Drosophila melanogaster: one gene and its partners. The protein of the gene in region 3 interacts with the protein of the main gene of each other region in a pairwise test. Each region holds a gene or a part of one and is shown on either strand. Other genes may lie near its edges.

Evidence for each region.
Region 1: the proteins of Pif1A (region 3) and tj come close enough for resonance energy transfer, tested with the Drosophila melanogaster proteins (one study listed by BioGRID).
Region 2: the proteins of Pif1A (region 3) and Xbp1 come close enough for resonance energy transfer, tested with the Drosophila melanogaster proteins (one study listed by BioGRID).

The regions. Positions count from the first base shown.
Region 1 is NT_033779.5:19,459,135-19,470,582, forward strand, and holds tj (traffic jam), read left to right. Parts: upstream 1-5,132; 5' UTR 5,133-5,621; coding exon 5,622-7,157; coding exon of another isoform or gene 7,158-7,289; 3' UTR 7,290-8,624; downstream 8,625-11,448.
Region 2 is NT_033778.4:21,138,672-21,148,609, forward strand, and holds Xbp1 (X box binding protein-1), read left to right. Parts: upstream 1-4,877; 5' UTR 4,878-5,205; coding exon 5,206-5,465; intron 5,466-5,529; coding exon 5,530-6,193; coding exon of another isoform or gene 6,194-6,789; 3' UTR 6,790-7,079; downstream 7,080-9,938. Other genes in the region: magi, read right to left, coding at 1-302; CG9406 (uncharacterized protein), read left to right, coding at 3,804-3,816, 3,875-4,112, 4,165-4,375, 4,428-4,526; Hmg-2 (high mobility group protein 2), read left to right, coding at 7,630-8,033, 8,093-8,819; CG15657 (uncharacterized protein), read right to left, coding at 9,043-9,299, 9,359-9,443.
Region 3 is NT_033777.3:8,795,340-8,805,449, reverse strand, and holds the start of Pif1A (PFTAIRE-interacting factor 1A), read left to right. Parts: upstream 1-4,273; 5' UTR 4,274-4,575; intron 4,576-4,670; 5' UTR 4,671-4,756; intron 4,757-5,505; exon of another isoform or gene 5,506-5,988; intron 5,989-7,403; 5' UTR 7,404-7,548; coding exon 7,549-8,126; intron 8,127-8,483; exon of another isoform or gene 8,484-8,513; coding exon 8,514-8,745; exon of another isoform or gene 8,746-8,804; coding exon of another isoform or gene 8,805-9,228; intron 9,229-9,281; coding exon of another isoform or gene 9,282-10,110. Other genes in the region: CG9839 (uncharacterized protein), read left to right, coding at 1-258, 324-1,885; CCT7 (chaperonin containing TCP1 subunit 7), read right to left, coding at 2,048-2,371, 2,445-3,264, 3,331-3,591, 3,770-3,772; Ir85a (ionotropic receptor 85a), read right to left, coding at 8,805-9,228, 9,282-10,110.

The DNA of each region.
Region 1 (11,448 bases), on a different chromosome or scaffold from region 3:
ATTGAGCAAACGAGTATCCAAAACCATTTAAAACCACTTAGATAGTTCGCTGGATTATTAACTTTAAAGGGAACCATAGTTGGTACTTGTTTGATTTCTAATTAGTGTCATTGTGTGTCTCTTCTATTAGTATGCTCTGAACTCAATTTACTCTTGAAATAACCTCCGATTTATTATTCCGTAGACATGCAGAAAGCCAAATTCCCCAAAGAACTTCCTCAATTCGAACTCATCTGCTTCCGCATCTCACTTCCGAAATTGGCCATATTATCCAGGAGACACATTTGAGGGCGTTCCCCGGCTGTCAACTGTCACCGAAGGCAGTGTCAAACTGACAGTCGTTGACATCCGTTGACAGTGTACCTGACCTCAATTTTTCCCTCTCTCCCAGAAGATATGTTTGCAACCCTAAACGGATAATTGCTTCCTAATGAGCTGGCAAGGGTGACCCCGACCGAATCAACCCCTCACTCACACCCCGTTTGGGTTTCCTTATCACCGAAGGCGGTTTATCACGCGGCGATTGGCAGGCAGATCCCAGGCCAAAAGCAAAACACAATAGGAACAAATAAATTATGTCCAGCGATTTGTAAACAAACATCAACTGTGCCGAACGGGGGTCAATTTCCCACTGCCCCGCGAAGTGAGGATTGTTCGGGCTTGGGGGATTTCCATAAATAAGGACCAGGCCAGACCAGTATAATTGAAATATTCGCTGTCAATTTGTTGACTCCGGAAGACGACGACTCCAGGCCCGAGGCGAAGGTGTAAGCTGCATAAATGGTGGATCGTTATGGTTCTGTTGCCACAGACACCGATTACCACAGGTCCTGCCGCAGGACGAAGTATGTTTGCTCGGCGAAGGACCTCCCAAGTGATAAATGGTTGCGAAATTTATTTACTTTGCACTACCGACTGCCAACTGTGTGTGTGCCAGAGAAAATTATGTGTGATTATGAGCTATTGAAACATCATAGGGACATTTTGTGTTTAGAATTTGCTTTTAAAAAATAAATAGGAATTTCTTAAAGCGAATAACTTTTTTACTTGATTAAATAGTTTTGTAGAATTTAATTTCTATGTTTTTTAAAAGGCCAACATTAGGTTAAGAAGTATGTATGTTTCCTAGAAATAAAGGTTGCTAGCTAGCCTTTTGGACGAGAATTTTTGCTTTTAAATGAGTGATTTTGAGTCTCATCCTAAAATTAAAACTGGTGCACATGCACTAACTTCCAGTCTATCTTGATCCTCCGTCACAAGTCATTAATGCTGTATTGGAAAAGTAGGAGCATAAATCGCGTAAAAACTCATTGTGCAACAACACAAAGGAGACCCCCAATGGAGTTGCACTCCCGCTGAGATATGTGGATGGAAAGTGAGGTGGTGGCTGGTTTTCCACCGGGGTACGGAAGGTAAATTGACGTGAACATGTCAACGTTATTTGCCATTTCAAAATCGATTTTTTGTAGATTCACCAGGAGACGCTCGTGATAAAACACGACTATACTTCGTGCTTAAAGTGCACTTGAGGCGATGATCTGCGGGATTCCGGGGGCGATGGGGATGGACTGTCGGGTACAATCAATCACATCACCACATGGCAGGATGGCGACCACGTTAGAGCGCCTTTTCCCCAGTAAGTTGTAATGCTGCCTAATCCGGCGTAATAAACATTGTCAAATGCGTTCACTCGATGCGGGAGGAAATCATTATTGACATCCACATACACATCATCATCAGCGGCAACAATTGAAATGCAATTGAAAAGAATCGCGCACAAATATTTGCACTCGGATTCAGCGCCAGTTGACAATCGAATCCCCTCGAAGTTCGGAACGGATGCAAATGAGGGGCTTTAAGAGCGAGGTAACACGACTGTGGCTGGCATACCTGAGAACTCGAAAATAATATATTATTAAAAAAAAAAATAGGAAAAACGAACTTAGTTGGTATGCAACGTTAAATCCCATTTACACATCCCGAAGATTTTGAAAATCGCCATTTACACCTGTATTTCTGGAATGTACATATAAGCGATTTCATGTATCAATATTATGCATACAACTTAAGATTGTGAAGTATGGTGATTTTGATTAGTAATACTTTATTACCCTATATTAGCCTTCTGATCCGTAACACCCTTAATTCCATATGACTGTATTATTCCATCTGTATCTTTGCATATTTTCAGGCATGGGGGTTAAGTGCAAATAAGAAACCGAAAAGTTTGCCAACACGTGGCCGAAAGCCCCAATTCCAGCCAACTGACTGCTCTCGATTCTCGGTTGATTATTAACAATATTTTTAATTGGCCGCCGGTAAATATTTGCACACCTTTAACCCTTTTTAATATGCTTAAGTGATGCTCCTGCCGGACTATCGCGCTGTCTCTTTCTATCGTCGATTGTTCGTCTTTGTCTAGCGAAGCGCCCCAATCCCCGCATCTACTGGAAATCAGCACAGACAACCAAATGGAGCATACAGAGGATAATTCGATTGTGTTCAATTTAATTTTGACAAGCTTCAATGAAGCCCAGAACTCACTTCCCCACACCACCCCTCCCCCACATTTCCCTTTGCATTTTCTCCCGCTCTTCCCACCCACAGCAGTTGATTTGATTTTGTTTTATGTTTTTCCTGCTGGCTGAGGGACTACGGAAGAGTCCTGTTTTCTGCCATCTTCCGCCCCTTTGCCGATTCCTTTCGACACAACAATTGCGTGGAGAATGGGTGTGCCTGAAATGCCAAGGGGGAGGTGGGTGGATGGGTGGGAGGATTTGACTACAAGGCCCAGTTGTCGCAGCAAGTGGAACAAAGTTTTGTGGTCACTTTTGCGGCTCGCAAGCTAACCAAATACGGAATAGTTCTCTTGGGAAGGAGTTCATTGAAACGCTTCACTGGTGAATAGAAAAAGTTTAAACGAGAAATCCCAAAACTAAATAAATAAATATTTATAAAAATGTGGGTAATAGAATAATATATATTTTCCCGAATATGTAGCTATAGCCTTAATGTTACTGAAAATTATTGTTTGCTGAATATTATTACGGAAGAAAATTACAAAAATATTATTAAGCGCAGTGAATCAAATTTTAAACAACGCTCTAAATATTCTGTTGAATTTAATTATTTATAATGGAAGAAATCGTTTAAAATAGCTTTACATATGCTAGCCTTCTTGAGATCCCTATCTTTGTGGTTTTAAGTACCTCAGATCTTATGTCGCATATTTAACCAAAAAATATTCAAATTTTAAATTTGGTAATAGGAAAGGTGGATTGGCATTGCTAGCCCACATTTCCACATACTGCCCACCCCTCCTGGCGAACCAGAACTTGTTGCACAAACAAAGCAGAAGCCTTTCGATATCCCACAACAATATTACATCAGAGCAATCTGTTTGGCCAGCGAAGACAAAACATTTGCTCAAAACAAAAAGTCAGAAAAAAGGGGTTCAAATTAAAGTAAAACAAGAGCGCCCCGTGTCCAAGTTGGGCCGTCGGAGGCTCCTAAGTTCTGTACTCCGTTTCCGCTGGATCAGCATAAAAATGCACCTGTGCACCATGGAATCCTTTGGCCCAAGCAAACACACACATGCCCATGGAGTGGGCAGTGTATTATATACGAGCCAAAACAAATCGAGCGACTTATCTCGGCTAAAACATCTCCCATTGACTTATGCACTGGAAAATGGAACAGTGGACGTGGATGTGGACGTGGATATGGATGTGCCTGTGCTTGTGCGACCCACTCCTGCATATACTTTCCTATGTGGATATACATATGTATGTATGTACATATGGGCACATCCATCTCCACCTCCATCACCGACTTCGTGTGGATGGCCAGCCAAATGAGACTGGAAGTCGGCAAATGGGGCTATGCGGGAATTTCCGTGGTAGTTGCTCATAAATATTCAGACACCAACACACTCGCAGATGGGGAGAGCCACACCGACACACACACGCGCACACAGTGGCAAAGTGGGCGGAGTCGACGACAGCATAAAGTGTGTCTGTGTGTCTATGTGTGCCATTTTTTATGCGCTCCATGGCAATTCAAAAACGCAAACAATAAACCGAGCAGCAGAGCAGCCACACCAACGGTTCCATTCCACCACCAACAAAGTGAAATCCCAGAGCATAGATTTGTGCTCTTGCACAGTGGTCGAGGTATTGGGTATCAAGGGCTTACTGAAACATTACTTACGTGCTACATGTTCCGAAATTTAAACATTAAATAGCTCATCAGTATATATAAAATTTAATAATGTATATAGTATATAATAATGTATATAGCATAATGCATAAAATATGTTTTTCCATGTCCAATTATAAGGCAATGCAGTCAATTTTCTGGCTTGTTAAGTCGCTTTTTTAGACTGTTAACAACATCAACATATTTGTTATTGGTGAAGTAATGTTCTTTGACCAGAATGATTGTTAGTCAAGGGAAGCGATTTTAGCTAAGAATTGATTGAATTTCCACGAAAAGGTCTAAATTTCTTTAAAATACTTAAAAAAGAACGTGAAATTAATAGAATTTTGTATAGATATTCAAGTGTTGTAACATTTAAAGCAGATCAAAATATAATCGCTTTTTCAAAGTTCAAAGTTAGTCCTTTAGCTATAAAATATTGTATTTGATTTAGACAACTTAAACTTGTCAAAATGTACGAATGAAATTATTTTATATTTGCAATTTTTTATCCCACTGTGCAGTGCATCGAATCTACGAAGCTTTCCCGGCTTGACTTTTGTTGTTGTTGTGCGCGAGAGCAGCAGCTGCCGGCAAAAGCACAAACAACAACTACAACTACAACGAAAGGCACTCTCTCTCTCTTGCGGACAAGTGCCTCCCCGCCCTTTCGCCTCTTTCCTTCCTCTAGAACCGTCATTTCCACGTTTCCAACAGGAGTTCCCTCGCACCAAAAGCAAAAGCATCAGCGAATGGCGTTCGAGCTCGGTTTTGTTTGTTGTTGGGCTGGTCGGCTTTTTGGTTTTGGCAAGTCGTTTTGTTTGTCGGCTGTTGGGAAAAGGAATGGGTGTGTGTGTGTGGGTGTGCGCGCGCTGCGCTGCCATTCTAACAGTTATCATCAAGGGAACAGAGCATCCAGAGCAGAGCTTCCAGAGCAGAGCCACCCTCCAGTCAGATTCAGTCCGACCTTAGTTGAAACGGACACGGAGTTCAGTCGCCACCGTTAACTCTTTCACATTGGACGCGAAAAGCGCGTTCGCGAAATTAGTGAGCAAAATTGGAAAGAGAGCGAGCTTACAAATGAATTAAGCGCCAAAGTGCGGATAGTGATCGCTTTAATAAAAGCATACTTACATTTTAAATCATAAATAAGCAATCCAATCTTTTACAACGAAATCTAAGAAACCGGCATCGAAGTAAATATCTAACAGATTCTGGGGTAACCCCAAAAAAAAACGTAACCTAAATCCTGAGATCAAGATAAAACTTAGCCGCAGGCCGAAAGCGCCAGTGCCTGGTTCCGTGACCCCCGATCGCGTAGTTGACCTTTGAAACCACCCACTAACCACCACCCACCAATCAGCACGGTCACTCCCTTGCATGTGAGACCCGTAATCGACCCTCTCCGGTCCCTGGTCGATCCAATGAAAATGGAAGATCCCACCATAAACGACACGTACGTTCAGGAGTTTGATCTGCACCACCTGGAGGTGGGCGGAAATGGAGCTGGCCAATCGCATGGAGCCGGTGCCGCGTCCCAGGTCACGACTTTGGGCCATGTGAAGCGCGAGGATCACAGTCCACCGCAGCCGGTGGCGGTTAAATGGACGACAATCCACGGCGATCCCACGAATCCGGACGATGACCCGGACTCGCTGCCGCTGTCCGGACCAGAGCCCGCCGGAGCAGTGGAGGTCTCGCCATCGCCGCACATCAAGCTGAGGTCCTTCTCCGGCCATCACCAGTGGCACATGGACGAACGGCGCCTGCAACCGCTCTCTCCGCCACCAGAGCAGTATGGTCCGCTGCCCGGACAGGCGATTCTGGTGAACACATCTTCGGGAGCGGGCGTTCCGGGCGGAGTGCCCTCAACGCCGCCGGAAACGCCACCAGTAGTGGGCTCGCCCACGGGCAGCAGCAGCTGTCCGGCTCAGACTTACGCACACCACTATGCGAGGACACCGGGCAGCTCCGTATCCGTATCCGCCTCCGCCGCCGCCGCAGCTGCTGCCTCCGCCGGAGCAGCATCGGTGAGTGCCGGACTGAGCCATGACATGATGTGGCTGACCAACTCGATACGGGCGGACCAGCAGCCGCTGGATCTGCGGCCTTTGCCCTATCCGGGCTCCCAGGAGGAGGCGGAGGAGTGGGACAGACAGCGGGACTACGCCCTGCAGGCGGCGGCAGCTCATCACCACCATCACGGACAGCCGCTGATGCAGGCGCAGCATCATCCGCATGGACACGGCGGTCATCCCCACCAGGTGATGCTGCAGCAGAGCAAGTATCCGCACCACCATCACCACCACTTCCACAATCTGGAACTGACGCCCATCAACATGCACTCGAACTCGTACGGTAGTGCTTCGGGTGCCCTGACGCCCACCTGTCTGCCCCAAGTGCCCAGCAACGGGAGTGGCAGCAGCGGAGGCGGAGGAGGCAGTGGAAGCGGGAGTGGTGGACCCGGCAGCGTGGGTGGCGGCTCCTGCGTCATCACACGGGCTGCCCTTCAGCCGTGCCGCCCGCTCTCCGCCAGCTCGACCAGATCCTCGAACAACATGTCGCCCAGAACCTGTTCGGGTGCCTACAGTAATGCCACGCTGGAGGATTGCCTCAATGACGACATGCTGACCACGTTGACGGTGCGGGAGCTGAACAAGCGGCTCCATGGTTGCCCACGGGAGGAGGTAGTGCGTCTGAAGCAGAAGCGACGCACCCTGAAGAATCGCGGCTATGCCCAGAACTGCCGGTCCAAGCGACTCCATCAGCGCCACGAACTGGAGAAGGCCAACCGGGTGCTCAACCAGGATCTGCACCGCCTGAAGCTGGAGTACTCGAGGGTCTGCCAGGAGCGGGATGCCCTCATGCAGCGTCTGCAGCGGGCGGCAAATGGCGGAGTCGGTGCGGGAGGTGCAACCGCCGGCGGCGATAGCCAAAGCTCTCCGGAATTCTACCTCTGACGCCAGCTGGCGGTGGCCAGCGGCTCCTCCGCATCCTCATCCTCCTCCTCGCAGCAGCAGCAGCAGCACCCCCAGCAACTTCATCTCCAGCATCGGGGTCCACAGTGGAATCCCCAGCAGCTGGTCAACTAAGTAGAGAGCGTTCCGTGTTTAAGGTACTTTCACAAAGAGTTGATCATTTCCAAGAGCTTTTCCTAGACACAATGTATAAGGTAAATTGGTTTGATTCCAAGAATGTTTTCCAAATAGTCTCCACTCGAAAGAACATGTTTTCCAAAAAGAGTTTGTTAAAGCGTTTCCAAGGGGTTAGATGTCAGAATTCAAATTCTGTTTGTTATACATTCAAAATGATTTGTGTTATACCACGCGTTATTGTAAGTTTGTCCCTATTTTTGTGTATTCTTAAAAATAATTTAGTAACTAGGTTGGATTTTCAAGAGAAGTGCATTCCCATTACCACCACTGTTGATATTTATTCCCTCATTAATTTAAAAACATTTCCATTTAATCAATAATGCTGAAAAATTAGGCGGTTTCCGCAGAATTCTGTTTAGCTATGTTACTATGAAATTTATTAAAGGGGTTTTTAAGCGTTTAATTTGCCATTATTCTGATTGCGACAATAAATTCCGATGAATATCAGTTTGAGAACTTGGAAAGTGATCGACAGAGATTGAGATAGATGAGATAGAAAGTAAAGTGCGAGAGAGAGAGAGAGAGCGTGTTTGGATGGAACTTTTGCTGATTATCAGTTTGACTAAGGCAAAGATCGATTATAAATAAAACTAATTGGAACTCGTATGTATAAAGGACAAACATTGTATAAACCCAAGGAACAAAAACAAAAAGGTAAATTAACTAGCGGCTTCTGATTATCAATCGCTAAATTATTACAAAGTACGAGTTAGTAACACACGCTTATTTGTTGATTAGTTCTAGCCTTAGTTTCCCTACTAGTATTAAGCGAAACAGAAGCGAATTATAATATCATAGATGCGATAGTTGTTCTAGAGGCCGTGCTTCCCCTGCCGTTTCCGTTTTAGCCACACCGCCCGCAAAAATTCCAATCCTTCAGTAGCAATACATCTAATAAAACTAAAGGTTGTATTAAGTTAAAACACCGCAAGCTGGAAGAACCGATGTATAAAGTGAAACTGGATCGAAGCGAAGAACAAACTCAACTGAAGTAAACTAACAAACTAACAAAGTCCTATACAATTTAATGAGCACTGAAAATGATGATCGAAAATAATGTACATACACCCACACACTTACGTATAAAGATGAAAAGATGTAAATTTAAGATTTTTTGAATGCATTCAGATTTCTGTCTTTGTGGAACTAGAAGAAACACACGCGAATACTGAGCCGGAAAATTAAAGATTAATTACAAACTAAAAACAATTGTGAGTAGTTGATAAGTGTGCATAAAACAATTTAGTAATAAATAAATCTAAATTAATGAATAATCCTATGTGCGTTCTTTCTTGGGCGCTTCCCTGCCAGCCAAAAGGTTTGCAATCTAACTAGTAAACGTTAGATTTCAGTTTCAGTGCAACTGTAAACATTGATACGGATTAAAAGATTCATTGAATGCTCATGAACTGAGAGTTACGTTCGTTTCTTTGGATGCTTGATAGTTTAAACATTGAAGATCGTAAAAATATAGAATGCTCAGTTTTTCATAGTATTCAAATTGTATTCTATTTTGTCCCCATGCCACATTCATATTCATATCTGGGTTTTAGAAACCACCGAGTGGGTCTCAGCTTGCATCATAGATTTTGGGTTTCATCTCGCCGTTTTCCGAGAAGTGGCATCTTCTGTGTGGTCTGTCGGCATGGATAAATGGGCTTCCAGCGACGACGACCCCCGCGGGCAACAGTTTAAGAATCAAAATAAACACTTCGATCCCGATCCCTCTGGACTTCGATAAGTTATGTCAACAAACTTCGGTCGCGTAACGGCGCATGCAGGAGCTCTGGAGTAGTAGGAGCTCCAGCTGAAGTGCAGCATTGGGTTACAATCGTCCACATGGAGGAGATCAGCATCAGCCCCTAGGAGGGGGAGGGGGCGGTGTTGGAACTTTGGAGCAGTCCAGCATTCAGTTGGGGCGGCGTAATTCGGCAATAATCAGAGGGCCGTATCTACATATCTGCATTTTCAAACCGTAATAAATCCCTAATAAAAATCGTTTCCTTTGGCCTGTTTATTTTCATTTCAATTTCGATTCACTTTTGCGGTGTCGCCTCGCTACGCTTTTTTCAGAATCTGAATTTGTTATTTTTATTTTGATTATATGAGTTTCCTGCCCTACCAAGAACCCAAATCTCTTAGGAGCTTATGTAACCAGACGAAACCACTCGATCGAAGAGTTGCGCAAGTATTTTTGATGAAATTCGGGTTTTTTGTTTTGGCCCAAGTGATGGCGATCGCCATCAAGTGGACATTTTTCTTTGATTTCTTTTGCCCTTTACTTATTTTTTTTCTAGCTTAATTCTCGGCCAGCAGGAAGTTTCGGATTTCGCTTTTTCCGAGCATGCAATAAAAATTGAAATAACTGTGGCCGAAATTGGAATCAAGCGACTGGCTGGATTGGAAAAGACTTTGATTCAAATATATATACAATTTCTTATCGAAATCATTCAGAGGTAAATAATATAAATTAAAGAACAAATATTGCATCCAATGAAAGACAATGTACATACATATGTATCTTTTCAGAAAGAATCTTTAAATTTCATGCATTTATTATGATTCATAGCTGGTCTGATTTATTGAGTTACTCTTTTTTGTTAAAAAAAAAAAACACAATTTGTTCTGCCAGGAATTACATCTCTTATCTCGTCTGAGTGGCACAAAGCAATATTATATTTTTAATATTCGCCGACCATTATTTTGTCACTTTCATCGAGAGCACACTTAGACCTTTTGGCTCACAACCAATCCGATAGCGATTCCTGATCCCATTTCTCATTGAGGTCTGCGACATTTCGGAACTCTGGCTTCAAGTGCAGATTAAACAATAATTATGAAACTCTGATGCAAATCGCCGGCGACAGAGAGTCTCCTTGCCCCCAGCTCCTCCTTCACATTCTGAGCCGGAGGGCAGACACGAGCAAAGTCCCGGGAACAGGCAGCTTGAGTGGATGTCACAAGAGTGGATGAGCTGAGGATTGGGATTGCGGGCAGCGGAGCAGCGGCGTTGAGAGCCCGGCATCTTGTCAAATGAAATTTATAGACACGGCAATGACAATCGGTAAATTGTCATGGCCATGGGCTAAGTTCATCTTGGGCATAATCAGTGCTTAGGGGCAGATATCCCGAGCCCGGAGTAAAAACCATCTCGGACAACTGGGATGATTGTCAACATTATTATGGTCCACACACGCACTCACACTCACTGCTTGATTATGCTGTGCATTCGGGACACTCTTTTTATGCCTGCACTGCGACGTGTGACGGCTTTGATGAGACATACACTGCGAGAAAGGAAATATCATTAAATAAGTATCAAGAAGGTCAATAATGCAGATGGCATGTTTAACAAAAAACTTGCTTACATATTTCAATGTAAAAAAGGCCCTTTGCAGAGTGATATCTAAAATTATGAGTAATGTTATATGTATCAGCAAAAAGTTATGATTTTTTATATAATATATCCAATAAGTTTTTTAATTCATAATCATTTTACTCTGTAATAAATGTAATTGAAAAAAAAAAACCAAACTATTATCTATGTTTTAGGCAGCAATTTGCTTGAAAGCAAACATAGAATCGAGGAAATATCAGATTTCTCTCAGTGAAGCGATGGGATCGGATGGTGTGGCGTGCGGAATATCTTCCTGGCCTATCTGCTGCGGTGCGGGGTGGTGCGTTTTTTTATGATGCTCCTCAAGTGGACGAGGACGAGGAGGAAGCGGCGTCGAGCGACACGCTTAAGTGGCTCGCATACGCCCCCAGCCGCTCCGGCTGGTCTTAATTCAATCGATAGTTCACACATGTAATCGCATGGCCGGATGATTGGGGGGCTTCCTCCTGCATTTTACTTTTACTCCCTGGGTCTACCCGATTTTCCGCCTTTCTCTGGGTTTGCATGCCAAACACGTAGCGTTGACATTGACGGTGGGAATGTGGGGTGTGTTCTGTTGCCAGTTTCTGATCTGACTTTAACCTTAAATCGTTAATGGTAACACATTAGTTTTGCAGCAGTTTGCGGCGTCACTCTGCTCATTAGGCTAATGAAGAGCGGCTAGCAAGTCCTTCAGGAGCTCATTAGTTGTCGCTTTGT
Region 2 (9,938 bases), on a different chromosome or scaffold from region 3:
GAATTTAGATTCGAGTTTCCGTTAAATGTTGCAAAACTGGTCGCGGCGGCAACAGGATGTGGATGTGGATGTGGATGGGAGTGCTGGTGTTGGTGGGAAGCATTCAGAGGCGCCAACTGTTGCGGCTGTTGTTGCTGATAGAAGTGATTGCTGTTGAAATGCTGCTGTTGCTGCTGCTGCTGCTGCTGTTGCTGCTGCAGCATTAGGTAATCGGTGGGAGACTTGGCGGTGGCCACGCCCCTGGCCGCCACACCTGCTCCTCCGCCGGCTGTCGACGTTGTCGTGGCCGTGATTATTGGCATTTTAAGCCGGCTGACTGCCTGGTTTTTAGCTGTCTTTAGCTGCGATCGCAATCTCTCACACAGTTGAATTGTTTTCAGGCACTAGCGCTATTTGGCTCCATTGCATTTGAGTTTCGTTATTTAATACTTTTGTCGATTGTCTCGATTTCGCTTTGTTTCGCTTGTCTGCGTGAATGTTTTTAGATAAACTTTGAACGCTTCTTCATTTTGCCGTTTAAATAATTGTTATGTCATTGAGCTGTCATTCCGGTTCGTGAAGCTGCAAAACAGAACAATCAAAAGAGAAACCATTAATTAGCAGTATGCAAAGTAATATAAACAATTACCATGTGTATGCATACAATAATCGTAAAGCAATAAAGAACGCTTCAGTTCGATTTGGCATGATGCTCATTTTTATTTTAAGATGCAAATATGTGCGACCTCTTTTAATATTTGCTAAAATGTATTTAAAACTGGTGTTTTAAAGCAATATATTTAGCAACCCAATAGAAACAGCTGAGTTCCATTAACTGGAATCTCAAGAGATTGGGAACTCTTGCTTGAAGATTTACAACACTTTATTATTATGAAATTCCTTAATACCCGCAACTTAAACTGCATGGCATGAAAATCATCGCCACATACTTTGAATATCCAACATTGCTGGGTGGTACCAGCTCGCTCTCCACCTCCAAACCTCCAAACCAAGTCCCAGAGCCAACTATCCAGTTAGACAGCTCCCGGCCAGACAAGCGCATTGTTCGATGGCTTGGTCCAGACTGCAGTTGCAAGTGGGGCCAATCAGTAGATTGTTCAGTTAGGCTAGTCAGTATCCATGGCAACCATAGCCGCAGAAAAAAAAACCCCTCCATTGTTGACATTGCAATTTAACGGCGAGCTGCTTCGACTTTCCCATGCCAGACGCATAGTTATAATTATTTTTGTGTGCATTTCATGGCGAGGTTTATCTTAAATTTTCGCCACTTAAAGCCATTTTTTGCAGTCTTCAAGTGCGCTTAAGAAAACCAGCTCGGTTTACTTGGATCCATATATAAAAAAAAAAACAAACTTTCTTTGTTTAATTTGGTGCAGTTAAACATTTGAGCCAGCTAGTTTTAAAACAAATTATATTTTCAGAGCAGATTGAGGCAAGTTTGCAACTCTCGCTACTTTTGAATATGCATTTATATGTATTTCAAAATAAAAGAGCTAGTTTCCCCGCTGCAAATATGAAAACGTTGACTCACGACACACACACAATTATGAGCGCGGGGTAAGGAATAAGAAAATTAACTGTGCGAAAAAAGGGGCATCAAACACGGCAGCAACATAAAGTTCCTCAAGCGAAAAATTTACTCCAATGAGAAAAAAGGCACAACGACGATCGTTGTGTGGATGGAAGCGGCATGGAGGTGGCCACAGGGCAGGGGGAGTACTCCGTGAGGCACACAGCGAGCTGCGGGCACCGCCAAGCCAAGAATTCCAGAAACGACAAACAAAACAACGGCGGAGAGAAACAAGTTTTTCAGAGTATGCCAGCAGATCGCCAGAAAACCGAAAACTGAACTAAGAACTGAAAACCGAAAAACGAAAACTGAAAACCGAAAGGCAACCCCCACAAGTACACAAAAGAAAACGTATAGAGTCCCTTTTGTGGATTACGATTTGATAAGGATTTGGATATTGTCTGTTTTCTGTGTCCCATAATTATAGGGATATTGCTCTAAAAGTACCAATTCCACTGCTCGTTTCTTTGAGTGTAGGGACACGTAACAGGAACGATCCGCGATGGTGGTAGCGATGGTGGTTGCTCCACTTGCCACACCGAGATCCTTCGCAGACCGCAAATGTATGTGCCCAGCCACCTGTCGTTTGAGCATTTCCCATTAGAGAAAAGCCGCAAAAGGAGCGGCAAGCAAAGTTGGTTGAAGGCAAGGAAGGAAAGGAAAGGAAAAGGAAAAAAAAAGATCGGGCCACTTTCGACAAACAGGCGGCGCACGACCAGAAAAAAAATGCCTAGTAACAAATGGCAATCAACAAGGGGAGCGGCTATGGAAAAGCAAGTGAAAAGCGAATAGTTAAGGCCACAATTTCACTGCACGGGGAAAATTCATCATCGGCGTTTATGGGCGCCTGAGGTTTACTGTGAAGTGAGTTGCAATCATATCCAAATGTGGTTAGGCCAGCACGTTATCTTCTTATTTTTGCACATTTAAGTTGGGATTTGATTGCATGAGGATATAACCTATTATTAGCAAAAGAAAGTCTTAACTGTTAGTACTAGTAAGCATTGATAAAAGCATGAACAGTTCTTCAGAAACTAGCAAGTTATGCTCGAAGTAAACAAAATCATCTTTTTTTCATGCAAATTGATCAGCAATCATGGAAACTAGCTTTCAACAGTCGAGTGCCAGATACATTTGCAAATATTTATCTTTTCACGCACGCCTCGCTAATTGCCATCGATCAGAGATAAACTTTCTATCGGGTAATGAAGCAAAGTGGTCAATGCCATGGGCAGAAATTGGAAAAATGTCAATGGGGGAGATAAATAACATTTTCAGTCACTTTCAAAATTCGCACCTTGTTTATTTCTGCTGCCGTTTTGAGTTGTTTTGCTTATTTATTTGGCTCGAAAACGAGTGTTAAGCGAGGGATCGATGATCAGTTTTGAGCATCCAAGTGTCGAACACTTTCCATTTTTATGGTGATTTTCGTTGTTTCTCTTTTTTTTTCTGAAAACGCGTATTTCTGAACACACATGCACATACACTTGTCAACACAACTGAGAGTTGCAGTGGCACTTGTTAACTGTGGTATTATGGCCAAGTTTTTGAACTTGTTGTGGGCCAAAAACCTCCTGGAAAACCCGTTGGAATCGCCGAACGACGTTACACACCTGCGACGATATGTGAAACGAGTTGCTCGTTTTCCATTTAACGCTGCATTCAATTGCAATTCGATTTTCCCGCAACGCGAACCGCACTCCACGGAATATCGAAAACAAATGAAAACTGAGGTGGCGCGTTGAGTTGAGTTGGAAAACCTGTTGCTGCCAAACGACGCACACAGATGCAAATGCTCAGCGACAACAAGCAAATGCAGTCTATTTCGTCCTTTAAAAGGCACTGGAAAGTCTCGAACTTCACTGTTTGGGTAACATGAAATCTTTAGCTAAACGATTGTCTCAACTTTAATTGCAAATTAATGGGAAACAAATTAAAAACACGAAACGAAAAACAAAACAGAAAACAAAATAACGCGACGCTCAACACGACTGCTTCGCAGGCAGTTATCGACTGATGCTTATCGGTCGATATTCACCACACCTAGTATGACCACAGGGGCGATACCCTTTGCTTGGCGCCATTATCGATTTCCGATCGTTATTTTCAAATTCGAAATATAAACAGCAAACCTTTAATAATGCTTCAATCAGAAAACATATAAATCAGGAAAAAATAAATCGTATTTTAAAATTATCAGTTTATTTATTAAATTCTAAAGTATATACCCGCGATGGAAGTTGGTGGTAGGCATTACATAAAATGAGCATCGCACCTCCGCTTGATATCACTAACCTTTTGTAGTTACCCTAAACAACGAACTCGAGGAAAAGATTTCGGAAGCATTTTGCATATTTGATACTCATGGCGATAAGTATATTGATTCCCGCAATGTCGGCAACGTGCTCCGATTTTTAGGTTGCGCGCCCACCGAAAAAGAGGTCGAAGATGTCATTAAAGCCACCGATTCCGTCGACTATCCAGGCGAAGCCCATTTGGTGAAGTTCATGGAACACGTTTCCAAACTGCTGATGGATCGACAGTTATTCAATATACTTTAGGTTTGTTTAGCAACTAACGATATTTGTCCACAGAATGGAACCAGCCTCGTCGGAAAAGCTTCTCGAGGCCTTTGAGACCCTGGATCCAGAAAATAAAAAATATCTGACCAAGGAGTACTTCGGCAAATTAATGGCGGAGGAAGGAGAACCTTTCTCCGCTGAAGAATTGGATGCTATGTGGCCTGTGGCAATTGATCCCATTACTGGACACATTCCCTACACCTTCTACATAAATCAACTCAGGGTAAGATCGCATTTCCCAACTACTTTTGATTGGATTCATCTAAAATTTCCAGCACAAGCCTGATATCTATGAAATTGCCGAGGTTATCAAGGAGGAACTAGCACAAGCCGAAAAAGAAAAGGGCAAGAAACCACAACAACCACTGTTTTAGATGCCCCTTTAATCAAGCAATTGCAAATAACGCGGAAAATAAATTTATACATTTTATAACAAATAATTTCCTTTCTCGTTTTTACTGTTCCACATTGAGATATAGACGGTCACACTGCCATGCGCAATTCGAGATGGCATAGTCGTTGTTCTATGTTTGGATATTAAAATGAATTGTGTGAAAAATTTAAGGAACTATTTTTTGTTTTAAGATATTGCCTGAAATGTTACAATATATTTATTAAATCCAATAAAAAAAAATTTACAATACATTTAAGCGCTTTTACAAATCATCGTTGCTCTAAATTAACTGAATTTGTAATCGATAGCCCGATACGTGCTGCTCCATCCCTCATTACCCCAACTCTTCTAGAAAAACACGTCAGCTTTTCACAGCCATTCGGAAAAGAACACGTCAGCAGAAAGGAAAACTGGTCGGTCGATATTGCAAAGGTGGATGAGAAAATTGCGTGAGACGGAGCCAGAAAAGCCCGAGTCGGCGGCGATGAAGAGATTCAAACCAGCAGAGCGTCCGAGAAGCGCAGTCGAAGTTCATGAGACGACCTAAAACAAGCAAAAGTTAAAATACGCTCTTACAATGCAAATCTAAGTGGAAAGTCGCTTTTCACAATTGCACACAGCACACAGCAGTTTATCATTTAGCCCCGAACCAGTTAAACATGGCACCCACAGCAAACACAGTGCTAATTACCGTGCCGCGGACAGCAATCACATCGAATAATCTGCCCAAATTGCGGCCCGCCCCCCTTACGGCAGCTCTGCTGAAGGTGTCGGCCACGCCCTCCGCCTCGCCCACGCCCTCGAGTTCGGGATACGCATCCTCGTCGAACATGGATGACGATAACATGGCTGCATCCCAGCCCAAGGCCAAGAAGCGTCGCCTGGACCATCTAACCTGGGAGGAGAAAGTGCAAAGAAAGTAAGTCCACCCAACTTTTAACCAAATTTGAGCGCCTTATTTAACTGTTATTATCGAACAACAGGAAGCTAAAGAACCGTGTGGCCGCCCAGACATCGCGTGACCGCAAGAAGGCACGCATGGAGGAGATGGACTACGAGATCAAGGAGCTGACAGACAGAACGGAAATACTACAGAACAAGTGCGATAGCCTGCAGGCCATCAACGAGTCACTGCTGGCCAAGAACCACAAGCTGGACTCGGAGCTGGAGCTGCTGCGCCAAGAACTCGCCGAACTGAAGCAGCAACAGCAGCACAACACCAGATGCATCAGCCAATCCAACGCCAGCGCAGGCGCTGAGGGCTGTGCGTCCACCAACCTTGGATCTGCAGCATCCAAAGCTGACCCTCTGCCGCAGGGTATACAACAGGTGGACACACAGTCGTCAGCGCGTCTGCTGGCGGAGCAGCTGAAGAGCAGCAAGAGCCTGGCCTCACTCTGGAAAGTTGTGGCCCTCTGCCTACTCTACAAGACATGCTTGGCGTCGACGAAGAGTTCGACGTCAAGCGCCTCGAAGAGCTGGCCGAAAGTCTGCTCGCAGATATCACAGCAGACCTGGAAACAGGCGCTGGAGCGAGCAGCCCAGCTGCTGCCCAAGATGCAGGCAACGCAGAGCGATTGCCTGGACCAATGGTGGGGCCCGCAGCAGAGCGCTTGGAATCCGACGGGCATAGAGCTAATGGCCTGAATGTTGAGCAGGAACAGGAAACCGAGCACAAGGTCAGCCTAAATGTGCAGATGTTGAAGATAAATGGAAACCCACAGCATACCACAGCAGCGCCAGCCTCGAGAACAGCCACAATCACAGCGACAGCGGCCGCCTCGCAACTACAGGCCACTCCGGACACAGTGTACGGCACGTATGATGCCAAGACGAACTCGATCACCATCGTGATGGACGGGGATGCGGTGCCGGTGAACGAGGCCGTCGAGGAGATCTACTGTGACGGCGTCAGCGCTGGCGACGACTCAACGGACGTGATCATGAAGTGTCCGCCGCCAGCGACGTCTCCGTCACAGGTCTATCTCAACGTGATGAACGCCGTCGACAATTCGGACGACGAGGAAAGCTTCGATCCGATCGACCGATTCCTACGTCCGCGCGTTAAGGCGATCTCCCCGTTGGCCAAATCCCCCGCATTGTCTCTACACTCGGCCACCTCGGACCATGGATACGAGTCCATACTGGGCTCTCCCACATCCGTGGCTCTCACTCTGCCCGCAGATGAGGACGATTTCCCCTGGGAGAGCAACTTTGACGAGCTGTTTCCCAGTTTGATCTGAGTTTTTCAAGCTGAAAACTTCGTTCTGTCTCTCTTTTATTGTTAAGTTTGGCCGGCCGCCGTTTGTTTAAGTTTTTTAGTTGATAGGCTGTACATAAATTCATAATCGAAGGCTTTATATATGATACTGTAGTTAGAGCGCTAAGTTTAGCTGTAGGTTTCCATTTATATTTAACAATCTCTAACCACATAGGCTTATGATTACTCTTATATGTATGTATTGTGCTCAAAGAATTTGAAAAAAAAACATTTGACTAAAAAATATTCAAAATATAAACCAAACCAAACAACAAGCTCTTTGTTTTTGTTTACTCTAGGCGAAACAGAACTTTGAACTGCGTATGATAAATAGTTAATCACGCCACTTCTCTAGCATCACGCCACTTTTTTATGACGCAATTTCTGCGTAGATGATGGGACAGTTTTAGGTGTAAGCATATGAGTCATTTTGTTTTTATTAACCAAATATATATATATTACAAAAAGTGAGTTGAACTGACTGCAGATAATGCGGATAGGTGAAATAAAACCACAACTATGCTCTGAAATATATGCACCTTATTTATTAGTATATTATTCATTAATAAGACGAAATACAGCTCTGTTTTTCTCCAAACTGAACTAGGATTTAAACAAGATTTTGCTAAGCTCGAAAAATATATTTTTTAAAGAATATAAATAGAGCCACCCTAATGCGCCAGCAAAAGCGAATTTGTTTCGGAACTAGTTCGAAAAAGTTGTTTATAGACTTGAACCAGTTTTTGCTTACGAACCACATACCTGTGATTTTGCAGAAAGATAAACAATTTTTAAATGCAATAGAGTGTACGGTTAAACAGAAATGACGGAACCAACGAGCAAGACACCGGATGCGGTTCCGGAATCACCCGTATCACTGCCCATCGCCTCCCAATCCATGGATACGGCGACCATTGAAGATTTCGACGAGGACAAACCGGCCAAGGGAAAGAAGAAAGCCAAGAATCCAAAGGGTCGCCACTCGGATTCCGACATCGGCTCCGAACTGAAGAAGCTGGCCCAGCGCCGGATCAACGTAGCCGGTGCTCCAAAAATGCCACTTAATGGCTACGTCCGCTTCATGAACGATCGACGCGAGGAACTGCGACGGGAGCAGCCACAACGTACTGCCCTGGAGCACACAAGGATCATCGGCGAGGAGTGGCATCAGCTGCCCGAGGAGCGCAAGTTGCCCTACATCGAGGCAGCCGCCAAGGACAAGGCCATGTAAGCTCACACTTCGTTTCCAACCCACAAAATCTAAACATATCTTCCCATTTTCGTAGATATCAGGAGCAGTTGCAAATGTTTCTCAAGGAACACCCCGAAATTGTGGCCAACGAGTTGGCCAAAGCCAAGAAAGCCACAAAACTGGATGGTTCGCCCAAGGAAAAGACGCCGAAGGGTGAATCAGCCTTGGGCAAGGCGAAGAAGACCAAGGCAAAGCCGGTTAAGCGGCAGAGCGAGGATCCGGATGATGTGCCTCTGGCCAAGGTGAAGCGTGCCCAGACACCACCGCCTCCCACACCGCCAGCGGCTCCAGTACAGCCCCCTCCCAGCAGCGTGCCACCTGCGACACCTGCACCACGACCGCTGCAGCCCGGCGAGATACCCATCTACACCAACGAGTTCATCGAACACAATCGCAGCACGGAGAATGAGCTGAGGACGCTGCGCAAGGCCAAGACCGATCTGGAGCAGCAGAACGCTGTGCTGGAACAGCACGTAGATAATACGAAAGCCGGGTACGCCAAGGTGATGGGCGAGGTAACTGAGCTCATGGAGGAGAACCAACGCCTGGAGACCTATTTGCGCGCCTTGCGCCAGAAACTGGTCGCAGCTCTCGGCGGAATCTCGATGCCACCACTGGAGCCAAGTGGTCCCAGCGTTGGCAACATTGACAAGTACATCCGGCACTTAGCCGGGCTCGTCACTCAGCCAAGCAACGTCACTTTGATTAAGGCACGAGAGGCGCTGCGTAAAGTGGACACCAGTAGCTTGCTAAAACCGTGATTCATAGTACAGTATTCATAGCGTTAATAACTTCACCATAAACAATAGTCATAGTCATAGAACAATAGTTATCAATGCCAAGGATATCAAAAGAGAAAACCGAATAACAATAAAATATCCGCAGCATTTGTATGTAGCCAAGTTTTGGGAGCGCCCACTTTTGTATTTGTTAACGTCTGTAAGTTAGGAGACTACTCGTATGTACCCAAGAATATCCTCATTTTTAGTTGTCCTTGGGAGCGTCAACGCCGAGAGCGAGGCTGCGATGAGAGGGAAAACGTGGCACTTTACGTGGTCCTGCCGTGATCAGTCCGGCATCGCCATCCACGGAACTCTGCAGCCTTGGCGCCTTGGTCCGACGATTCAAACAGTTGCGTAGAATATAGTAGCCTCCCAGCATCAGGGGAATCACCATTACCGGGTGACACGCTATCCCAAGCACAAACAGAAATGTGGACATCATCAGGTTGATTAGGGCCTCTGTGGATCGGGTCGTGCCGATTGAGTAAGGCGAACATGGTCGTGAGCGATACACTTACGTTCAATGCTCGAAATGGTGGCCACTGTTGTGTAGATCGCATACGAAATGGCTTCAAGCACACTATAAATATAGTAGATCAGCATTTTGGATTTGTTGAATTTCCTGGTGGAACTGAACTGCTAAAGCGATTCGGGCAACTGGGAAAAGTCAAAAAGTACAACTGAAGCAAAGGTTCCTACGACTATGAAACAATAAGAAAAACTAAATTAACTAAATTAATCAAAATAGAATTTATACTTGCTTCTCGCAGCGAAAGGTTTCTTTATTATTAAACAAAATAGTCGACGTTTCACTTCGCGTAAATAAACTAAAGCGTTTCTCTTAGTTGTTTTCGATTTTTTGTTTCTTAGGAACAGCAGAACTAAACAAAAATAAATTAAAACTTAAAAGAAAATCGTTTTTCGTTTGATGTTTGTTTTCAAAAAGTATAGGTTCTAAATTATAGCATACATTTAAGGTTTTATAACAAAAATAATTTAATGAGATAATAAATCAAGGGCGCAGACTTCAAAAATATTCCATTGAATCGTTGGGCAAGAGGCAGAGGTCGTGCAAAACTCCTGGCATCTCCCCAAGAT
Region 3 (10,110 bases):
ACGATCACCGGTCGCCGGTGAAGCGACGCAGTGTGGACATCAAGTCGGAACCCTTGGACGGCTATCCGGCGCTAGCAGACTACGATTTAAGTACGGCCGATATCAAGCCGGATCTCACTGAACTCCAATTGCAGCTGGTGGCGGAGCAGCAGGCGGCCAGCAACACCATTCGCTTGGAATTGGAACAGCAAGAGAGTGATTCCGACGAGGATGGCTACTCAGAGCTCGATTACCAAGCTGAAGATGTCTTCTGTCAGGGTAAGAAGGGTGCTCCTCCCGTCATTTCAAGACCCCACTTATAAAATTATCCTTTTTAAACCCAGACGATATGGATGACTACGATCCAGATTGGTCCAGCCAGCAGACGGGTTCCCGACTGCTCTTCAAATTTCCCATCCAGCAGAGTGGCCTGAAATTCGGACAACGCTTCCAGGGACCACAGCACTACTTCAACCAAGTGCTGGGAAATCGCTCCAAGTTCTTCAGTTCCCTGGCCCAAAGCTGCAACCTAAAGGGAGGAGAGCTCAAGTCCAATCCCACAACTGCCGAAGAAATGGAAATCTTTATGGCGCTTTCCCTGCTTATGTGTGACCTGAAGCTGGAGCACCTATCGGATTACTGGAGCACTAACATGTTTTACGGTCTCGTCGGATTCTCTGGGAAGATTCCTCTGGAACGGTATCAGCAGCTGCTGCACTGCCTTAACTTTGATGCACCGCAGCTACAAGCGGGCAGAGCCAAAGTGAAGAACTCTCTACTGCTAGACTTTATCAACGAGCGTATGGAAGAGATATACATTTGTGGCCAGCAACTGGTGCTCAATGAACCTATCACTCTGTGGAAGGGTGCATTAAGATACCAGGATGAACTTCCAAACAAATTCCGCACCAACGCACTACTGCTGCATATGCTAACTGAGCAGAGCGGTTTGGTGGTGAAGATTCTACCGGAGATTGTGCGGAAGGAAGACGCACCGGCATGGGTACGCAATTCCCGGCAGTTGGTGGAGCACCGAAACAAGATTGTCCTGAAACTAATGGAGGGTTACCATGGAGGACGCACTGTGTACACCTCAAAGTTCTATGGAAGCTACGGCCTGGCTCAGGAGTTGGCCAAGAAAAGCACCTATTGCACTGGTCTGCTGGACAGGAATAGATATGGCAACAGTAAGGCACTGGTGCACCAGCGGTTGGATTCCAACAGCATCTCCACCAGCTATGCCACTTCTCTGATGATGGCCAAATGGCGACGACGGGCAAAGAGCTTGTACTGCTTCAGCTCTGACTGCTTGGCCATTTATTCCAAGGAGATGGCCATGCAAAAGACAAATGCAAAACCTAAGTTGATCCAGGAGCTCGAGTTTCAACTACGACCTGGAAACGACGGTCGCCACCACCTGATCCACTACCAAGCTGCCTGCAAGGAGCTGAAGGCAAACATAAAGTTGACCATTTTCCTACTCAACATCCTCGTGTACAATGCCTATTTGCTATACTTTGCTAATGGCCAGAATGCGCGAGTCGGACATCTTAAAAGTTACTCGGAGTTCCGGGTGATCATCATAAAGTCGCTTCTAAGAGAAGAAGTGACGAACGAACCGGTAACTAGTATCCAGAAGCCAGAGACATATGAACGGTCAAAGAACAAGCCGGTGCCCGAGCCCAGGTTGAAGACCATTCTACACGAACCCATGCTTATCCAGCAGAACGGGAAGCCGGCCAAGAAAAACTGCCGCTATTGCCACAAAGGCGGAATGCTGCAGTTCAGCAGGTACATGTGCAACACCTGTCCCGATAAGCCGGGTCTATGCCAGGAACCCTGCTTCCTTCTCTGGCATGAGCAGCTCAAAAAAGTAATCAGACAGACAATTGGACGAAGTGAATAAAAATGGATTATCATTCGTTAAGAGGAACAAATGTTTTTTGTTTAAAGTTTCACACACAAGTTCTTTAAAATAAAAACTTATCCTTCCCCCTTTCAAATATAAATTTCAAATTCACTCATCGTTAAGGTGGCTTTGTATGGACAAATACCATTGGACACTCACCCTGGGCGTGCTTCTGGCGCAACTTGTTGAGAATGTTGGTGGCATCGAAACCGGCGTTGTCGCACAGCTGGCGAGGAATGATCTCCAGGCCCTTGGCGATGGCAGCAATCAGCAGCTGCTCCTTACCGGCAATGGTGCGCGAATAGTCCCGCAGCAGCTTGGACAACTCCATTTCAATGGCACCGCCGCCGGCCACAACGGAATCGTGCTTGATGGTGCGCCGCACGATCATAATTGCGTCGTGGAGGGATCGCTCAGTCTCCTCCAGAAACTGTTCGGCACCGCCACGCAGAATAAGGGTGCTCGTCTTGGCATTGGGGCAGCCTATTTAAAATGGAAAATAACAAGTGGTTGTTAAAACGAGTCCTTCAATTAAGTATACGAATAAGATTCTTACCTTGGAAGAGGTTGAAACGTTCGCCGCCCACTTGGCGCTCCTCGAAATGTTCGCACAGGCCGAGTACATTGGGCTTAATGTCGTTGGCCGTCGTCATTACGGCTCCACCGCAAGCCTTCATGGTGCGCTTAAGATCTTCTTCGGGAACGCGGCCGGCGCAGAATATGTCGCGGTCGGCGAAATACTGTGTGGCCACATCACCGATGGGCAGCTTGGAGAGGACAACATTGGCGCCGGACTCGTGGATCTTAGCCAGCTTGTTGTAGAGGATCTGCCACTCGGCGTCGACCACCTTTTGGTACTCCTTGACGTTGTCTACGCGGATCTCGGCGTTATCGCGCTCAGCCTTAAGCTCCAATTCGATGTTGAGCAGGGCAATTTTGCAGTTGTCATAGGATTTGGGGGCCATTTCAAAGCCGGCATAGGAAAAGGTCTTCTTGAAGGCCACACCCGACACTAGCTGTGACTCCTCCAGCGAGCCACCGGTCACCTTCTTAATTCCAATCATGTTGAGGGGCAGCAGCTCATCCAGGGAGAGCACAGCATCGACTACAATGCGGGAGAAGAAGTCCTTCTGCTGGTGAATCAACTTGGAGGACATGGCAGTGGCTGCGCACTTCTCAAGGAGAGCACGCTGCTGGTCCTTGGACTGTTCGACAATTTGGACGGCCATTTCGTTGATCTTTTCCATGCAGAGCTGCAGGGCCTTGCGGATGGCCTTAATGATGACTCGTGGGTGCACTCCCTCCTCCACGAAGGGTTTCACCTGCTTAAGGAACTCGCCGGCCAGCAGAACCACGGACGTGGTGCCGTCACCCACCTGAAGGAGAAGTCGAATCAAAGCTTTAGCAGTGTCACGTGCGTCTCAGGGGTGCCAATCACTTACCTCGGCGTCTTGTGACTTGGCAATGTCCACCAGGGTCTTGGCCGCCGGGTGGATGATCTCCAGCAGCTTCATGATGGTGGCTCCATCGTTGGAAATCGTCGCCTTGCCGTGGGCATCCACAATCAGCTTGTCCATGCCGCGGGGACCCAGAGTGGTCCGCACTGCGTCCACGATCGACTGGCAGGCATTGATGTTGGACACCAGTTGCGGCTTGCCCTGCGACGAGTCAGTGCCTTCTTTGAGGAGCACGATTTGCGGTTGCTGCGGATCATACGGATATAAGGCGAATATATAGTAAAAGTCTCCAATTAGTCAGCAGATGTCGTCGGCTTGCGAGAAGCTTCTTTGCAGGTTATGTTTACAATCTCATGCCGCTCGCGGACGAGTCCATGATTGGGATTCACTTGGTTAGCCTCGGATTATTTCCAGCCGGACTTACCATATTTATGTGATGGGGTTGGCCTTTAGCACGTATTACAGTTTAAAACAATAAAGTTCCTAGCAGACAGGCGGCAACTTGCTTTTCGTTCACGTTTTCCGCGATGAGTAATGGGCCAATCGATTAATCGTTGTTATTTTGTATTTAATCGATGCTTGCAGCCAGTGTGAACGTTTGGGGACTTAGTCGCACTTTACAATGAAATTTGAAATCCTAACTCATAAAAAACTATCTATTTATTTCTATCTTGCGATTTTTTAACTTTATGGTACAAAGCTAGTTTCCACACTTTTTGATGAACATTTTAAACTAATATGATATGCAGCTGGTAGTTGTTATCGAAAAAGTTATCGATGGCTCCATGACGTCACTCTTGACCGGCGAGCGGTTTTTTGAAATTGCTCCCAACTTCAAATATAGATTTGTGATTCCTTCTATTTATATAAATTTGGCGATGCACGCACGCATGTCGCTTATTCCATTTTAGAAAGTGCGCCGCATCTTCAGTTTGTTCCTACCGCTCAACTTGAGTGAGTTGTGCACCGAGCAGCAATTAAATGAAAAATAGAAGAGTCATTTGAAAGGCCAAAACGCCAGAACATTCAACCGCAAATAGGTTTAAATGAAAGAAAGCATTCTAAATCTAATTCGGTCATGTGGAATTGGAATTTTAGTTGCCCAAGACTCCTCTTAACGACGACATCGAACCACAAGGGATGCCAATGGATACTAACCGGATACTAGACAATTGCCGAGTGATTATGAAACAAATCAGGATGCTGAACCGACTATGAAAAATGCAAATAGTGAGTAAGAAAAAGAAAAGTGAAGTGGGGCTCCCACACGATAAGGCACTCAAATCAAAGTGCAAAGTTTGTTCCCCTTTTGTGCTTTTATTTAGATTTCCCCTGTGTTGACTGACTGGAATCGGAATGTGTTCTAATTGTGTCCATCATTCATCGCGTCGTTAAGGCGATTGTCAAATTTGTATGTGATTTGTGAAGATTCTTCAGCTGTTGGGGATTATAGACATAAAGATATTCATACGCAATACGTTTGGCATTTAAATCGAAATTAAAAGTATGAAATTTTAATTGCCATAAAAAGACTATAAAAAAGTTGAGCAACTTAAATGTTTTGCAAGTATGTTTATTACCAAATTTATTTACTTCTGGTCTAAACATATAATAATAGATGCACGTTTCAACAGCTTTAATGTCACGTCTTCAGATTGCTCTTAAACTTAAACTAGCACAAATGCTTTGTGCTGATATATGTTTGAGCAACGCGCCTTAATCATGCGGAAGTACTTATAACAATGTTTACACAGATATAACAATTTAACTGAATTTTATCATTACTTTATCAAACTTATACCGAATTAATATCCAATCAACCTGAAGTTCCGATATCTTTTATTTCACTGTTTGTTATTTTGACCAATTTCGTGGCGGGTTGTGTGCATATTTTGGTTATTAATAAACACGCGACTGGTTTTTTTTTGTTATGAAGTCGGGAACCGGGAGGAAAACATCTTCGGCTTTCAATAGATGGGCTCTTCCGGCTTCACGTCGGCCATTCTTCGGGGCACGCACACAGACCCGAGCTTTGCCACCCCATAACCCCAAGAAGTGCATGAATAAATGGCAAAGCTCCTTTTAATTAAATGGAAATGGAGGCAAATGTGAAAGAGCTTGCGAAAGCTCGAGAGGCCGAGTTAGTCAATCGGTGTCCGGCCGAAACGAAAGATCTCTGCTATCGCCGAGCAACGAAATTTACCTAGTATAGAACACTTCTTTTAATTTACAATTCAAATTGATTGCAACTAATTAGGATACTCCCCAAACGAACCGAACATAACTCACTTCTATTCCGACGAACTTGTGTAACTTAATTGATATAATTTCGAACTTCCTGTACGAACTGTGTGAATATATTTGAACAAAAATATATCATACTTTGCTTAACAATTGTCGAAGAAGTGCTCCACATACCGACGATATTCTACTTGGTCTGTGCGCGAAAAAAGTTGATTGAAAATTAACGTATTGACGTCATTACACTGCAAGAAACAGTGGCAAGCAGGCAGTAAATAAACTGTTTACATTACAACATCGTCGGTCGACTTAGTGAGTGAGTGAGTGAGTGAATAAACATATACAGAAGTTTGAGGCACACCAACTGTTGGTCTACGACGCCCAAGGATTTCAGAGCTAATGGTGCGTATACGTGATCTTCGGTGAATCAGCCGAAAGAGCCGCAGACTGTACACTCGACGGCTGACCGACTCATCGTTTGGCAATATTTTCAAATTGATATATGACTGAAAATATACATACTTAAAGAGCAAAAAAGAGACTTTCATCTGCCCATGTGGATGGCTGTGGATGTGGATGGCAATCGAGTGGGTGGCTTTGCTCGTATAAAACCAATCCCAACCAAGCCGGTCACACCGAGGCTGTGATGTCACCATGGCGTGTATGTCGACCCCAAAAACACTTTATTATCGAGTGGACTGGGGGCGGTTTTAAATTTAATTAAATGAAATGCAACATGAGAGCCATCATTAGCCCCAGTCCTTCAGTTTATAGAAAAGCCACAAAATAAATATTACATACATTTGGAACGAACACCTCTTTTAGGGTAGTTTTTCCACTAACAGTTCGGTTTTGAAATACGTCCAAGAGTCAATATCATAAAGTTTACTAATAATTACTTATAATTTATGTTGATAACCAGAAAGTAATAAACTTGGGCACCACTCACTTAAGATCCCTCCCTATTAACACCTAGTGTATCGAGCTGGAAAAACAAATCAAATTCCAATTAGGCGCCAGAAGGTTGCTAAGTACACAAATCTGTCGCTCTACATGTGTATATAGATCGTGGCCTTGATAAAGATGATCGGCCAGAAATCTCGGAGAGCATTCTATGAACATATGAACTGTGGGCCTACTCGTGTGTGCACCTCATACAGTATATATATAGATGCTTTGTTATAATCTTTGGGGCGGATGTGGGAGCAGTGCAAAGAATTCTGTTTCTGTAGAACAAAAAAAGTAATGAAAAGCGGTTTTATTGCGTGTAAAGCGCCCCAGTGGGGAACCTCACAAAACAAAAAAAACACATGTACATATGAATGTACGTACATATTCTGTTCTATTCCAAAAGGCGCGCCACATGACGTCATTAAGAAAAGTCATTCCGGACCAGTTTATTTGGTAAGCCCAACGCAATTGGCGTTGTAAACTATTTCCCAGTCCCAGGGTGCCTATATGTTTCGTTTTTCATTCATATGTGTGGCCCGACCCGATGTGGCGAAATGAAGGAAAAAGCTTTTCCGCTGAAATCAATAATGGGGGAAACTTGTTGATTAGTTCAACCCAGTGAAGAAAAGCGTTGAAGAGTCTACGGCTAAACAGAAGCCATTGAAATGCTGACAGACAAAGGGGAATCTTTGCGATTCTGAAGAAACAACCTCCATGCGGGCAAAGACTCGGAATTCTGTATACTGTGTAATTTTTCAAGGCATAATTTGTAATAAGTAGATAAGAGTAGGGCTTTTATTGTATATGCTTAAAGCATTATTAAAGCCACATTATTGTATACTTTATTTTGAATATATCGCTTACAGATTGAGGAGAATCCAACGATGACCAGGTGAAGTATAGCAGGGACTTTCGGCAGGATCGGGGTGCACCGGCATATGCAGTACTTGAAAAAGCAGAAACCCAAAAAAAAACGACGGCAACATTTTTATATACTAAAGTTACATAAAAATGGCTGAAAACCAAACCAAAACGACCTCTAGCAAGGGATGTAATACAATGAGCAGGACCGCCCATATCCTGGCGCCCCACAATGGGACTGTGGTCCGCCGGACGGATCCTGGCTCCAAACTCAAAGAGAGCTTCCACACGGAGAAGCACGATATCGAAGACTGGCAAACGATGGCCAAGAACAAGTTGAAGCGCAAGAAGAAACTGAGCAGCTCCCTGACTTCCGTTGGGGATACGGTGAATCAGGAGAAGCGCACTCGCATCGAGGGCATCCAGCTGCATTGTCGCGGCAAATTGCGACCCAAGGAGACCCAATCCTTTGAGGCCGAGAAGGGCCCATCTGCCGGCTCCCAGAAGCAACTGGGAAAGGCAGAAAAAGATCGAGAACGACCCGTAATAATTGGTGGCGTGACTACCACAAATGTGATAGCAGCACCTCCACAAAGGATCAAGAGAAAACTGCAGGAGAACATGGACACCATCCAGAAGCTAAATGCCCTCACGGAGCAACTGCGTCTGGAGGTAAATGAACTGAAGTCCAGTCTGATCACAGAACGCGGTGCAGTGAGAGCCTTAAGGTAAGTCCATTAATATACATATATACCAATAAGGAACGTGATAAGCCCATTTCATTTTACCTTAATCGCACCATTTTATATTGCATAATGTTGTGAAACTTTTTAAATTGAGTTATCAAATACAAATACATTCGTTTTAAAAGTATTCGTGCACTGAAAACATATTTGACCTTTCATGAAAGTGACGATTGGCAATCAGTAAACTCGGAAATAAATATACATGCAATCAGTTTGTTCAAGATTACATTTAAATATTTCTGGTTTCATCTAGATATAAAATATGATAGAATAGTCACACGTTTGATATTAAAACCCATTTCGATCTGATCTTTTGAATTTAAAGAGACATTAAAAAATGCAATCTATCGCTTTTTTATTTCAACCCAGGGCTCAGAATGACGCAGATAGTCGTCGGTGGAAGAGTGAAGTGAAGAAGTTGCAGCATACGCTGGAAATGGCCAAGAAGAGCAACGGTATAAAGAAGGCCATCGAATCGGGCCCAGAATCGAGTGGTGCACATGTGACCGCCGATGGCCTCATCAACTATGAAATCCAAAGACTGACTAACGAGATTGCCGTGCTGAAGGAAGCGAATCGAAACAAGGAGGAGAAGACCCAGGTAAGTGGACGCCACATCAACACAATCATCCGCCTCACATTGCATGCTGCATGCGATAGTTAGTCCCGCCGCTTTGTTACCGCCAAATTGTAGTTGTGGGTCAAGTGCTCCCAGGCCAGCACAATGCATGCCATCCCGATCCCCACCAGCCACAGAGCGAATACGGCGTGGAAATGCTGCAGTTTGAGGACCACCGGTTCATCATTGCCACTCCCGCGTCGACGGTTTACCACCTTTACTCCAGACTTAATAAAGGCGGAGTTCATGATGCGATCCCAGTATCGCTCGAATCCAAACTCATGCGAACTCCGGATCAGTGAGTCCAGGAAACCCAAGTAGGGTGAACCGTAGGGGACGATATAAACGGCGTGAAACGGCACCAGGCAGCTGTTCATCAGGTGGAAAAGCGGACGACCCAGGTGCATGTGCACACGGCTGTTCACCTGGAAACGGGCGATGTGATACTTCTCCAAATAGGCAAATCTGCGAAAGTAGATTTTATGGAATTACAGCAATTAATCCACGTACACGCATACCTTATGTCATTGTTCCTCATCATTTCGTACATCTGGGTGTCGGAAACTTCCAGCATTTGTTCCCGAATTCTGGACTCGTGCTTGTGTCCCAGGGTTAGGAAGTGTTGGATATGTTTTACGTGCCTTGGACGAATGATGATGTGGTAGTGGGACCTAGCCAACGCACCCAATTGGTTTATATCGGGTAGATAAGGCTGGAACACCATCATGCTGGTCAGATTTCCCTTGAATGCCGAGCATATAAGTAGTCCAAAGTAAAGCCAGAAGATCAGAAACAATCGGATCGAGTGGTTTGGCGGAATCTGGGTCATGGGCATAGTTAGGGCTCCGGCGAAAAGTTGCATGGGAACCCTACCCACTTCAGATTTCAGGATGTAGCAGAAGACATTCGCCACCAGAACAGAAACCAGAATTAGGGCCCAAACTAATGAGCCAAATGAGCGAAATATGTTCCAGAAAGTGGGAGCAGTCTTGGCTTTCGGCACAATCACGCAAAGATCATCACGCGTGTGGGATACCGTGCTTTCCGCCTGTTTCCTGAAGGTATCCGGAACCAAGAAACGAATGTTCATGGCCACATCCACGTACTCCTTGGCCACCTCAAGGAAACATATGTCCGAGCTGAGATTGTGGTTGTTATACGAGTGCGGACGCGTTATCATCATGGTCGCGTTCAGTCGCTCAGCCACATAGGCCGCCAGCAGGCCATCGGTCCCCAAGATAGTTCCCTGTCTCCAGAAGATTGCCCTCACATCGTCCTTGTAGATGCACATTCTCAGCGGCTTCCTCTGCATATTGGGTATGGTCTTTGGGAAAAGCTGCTCTAAAG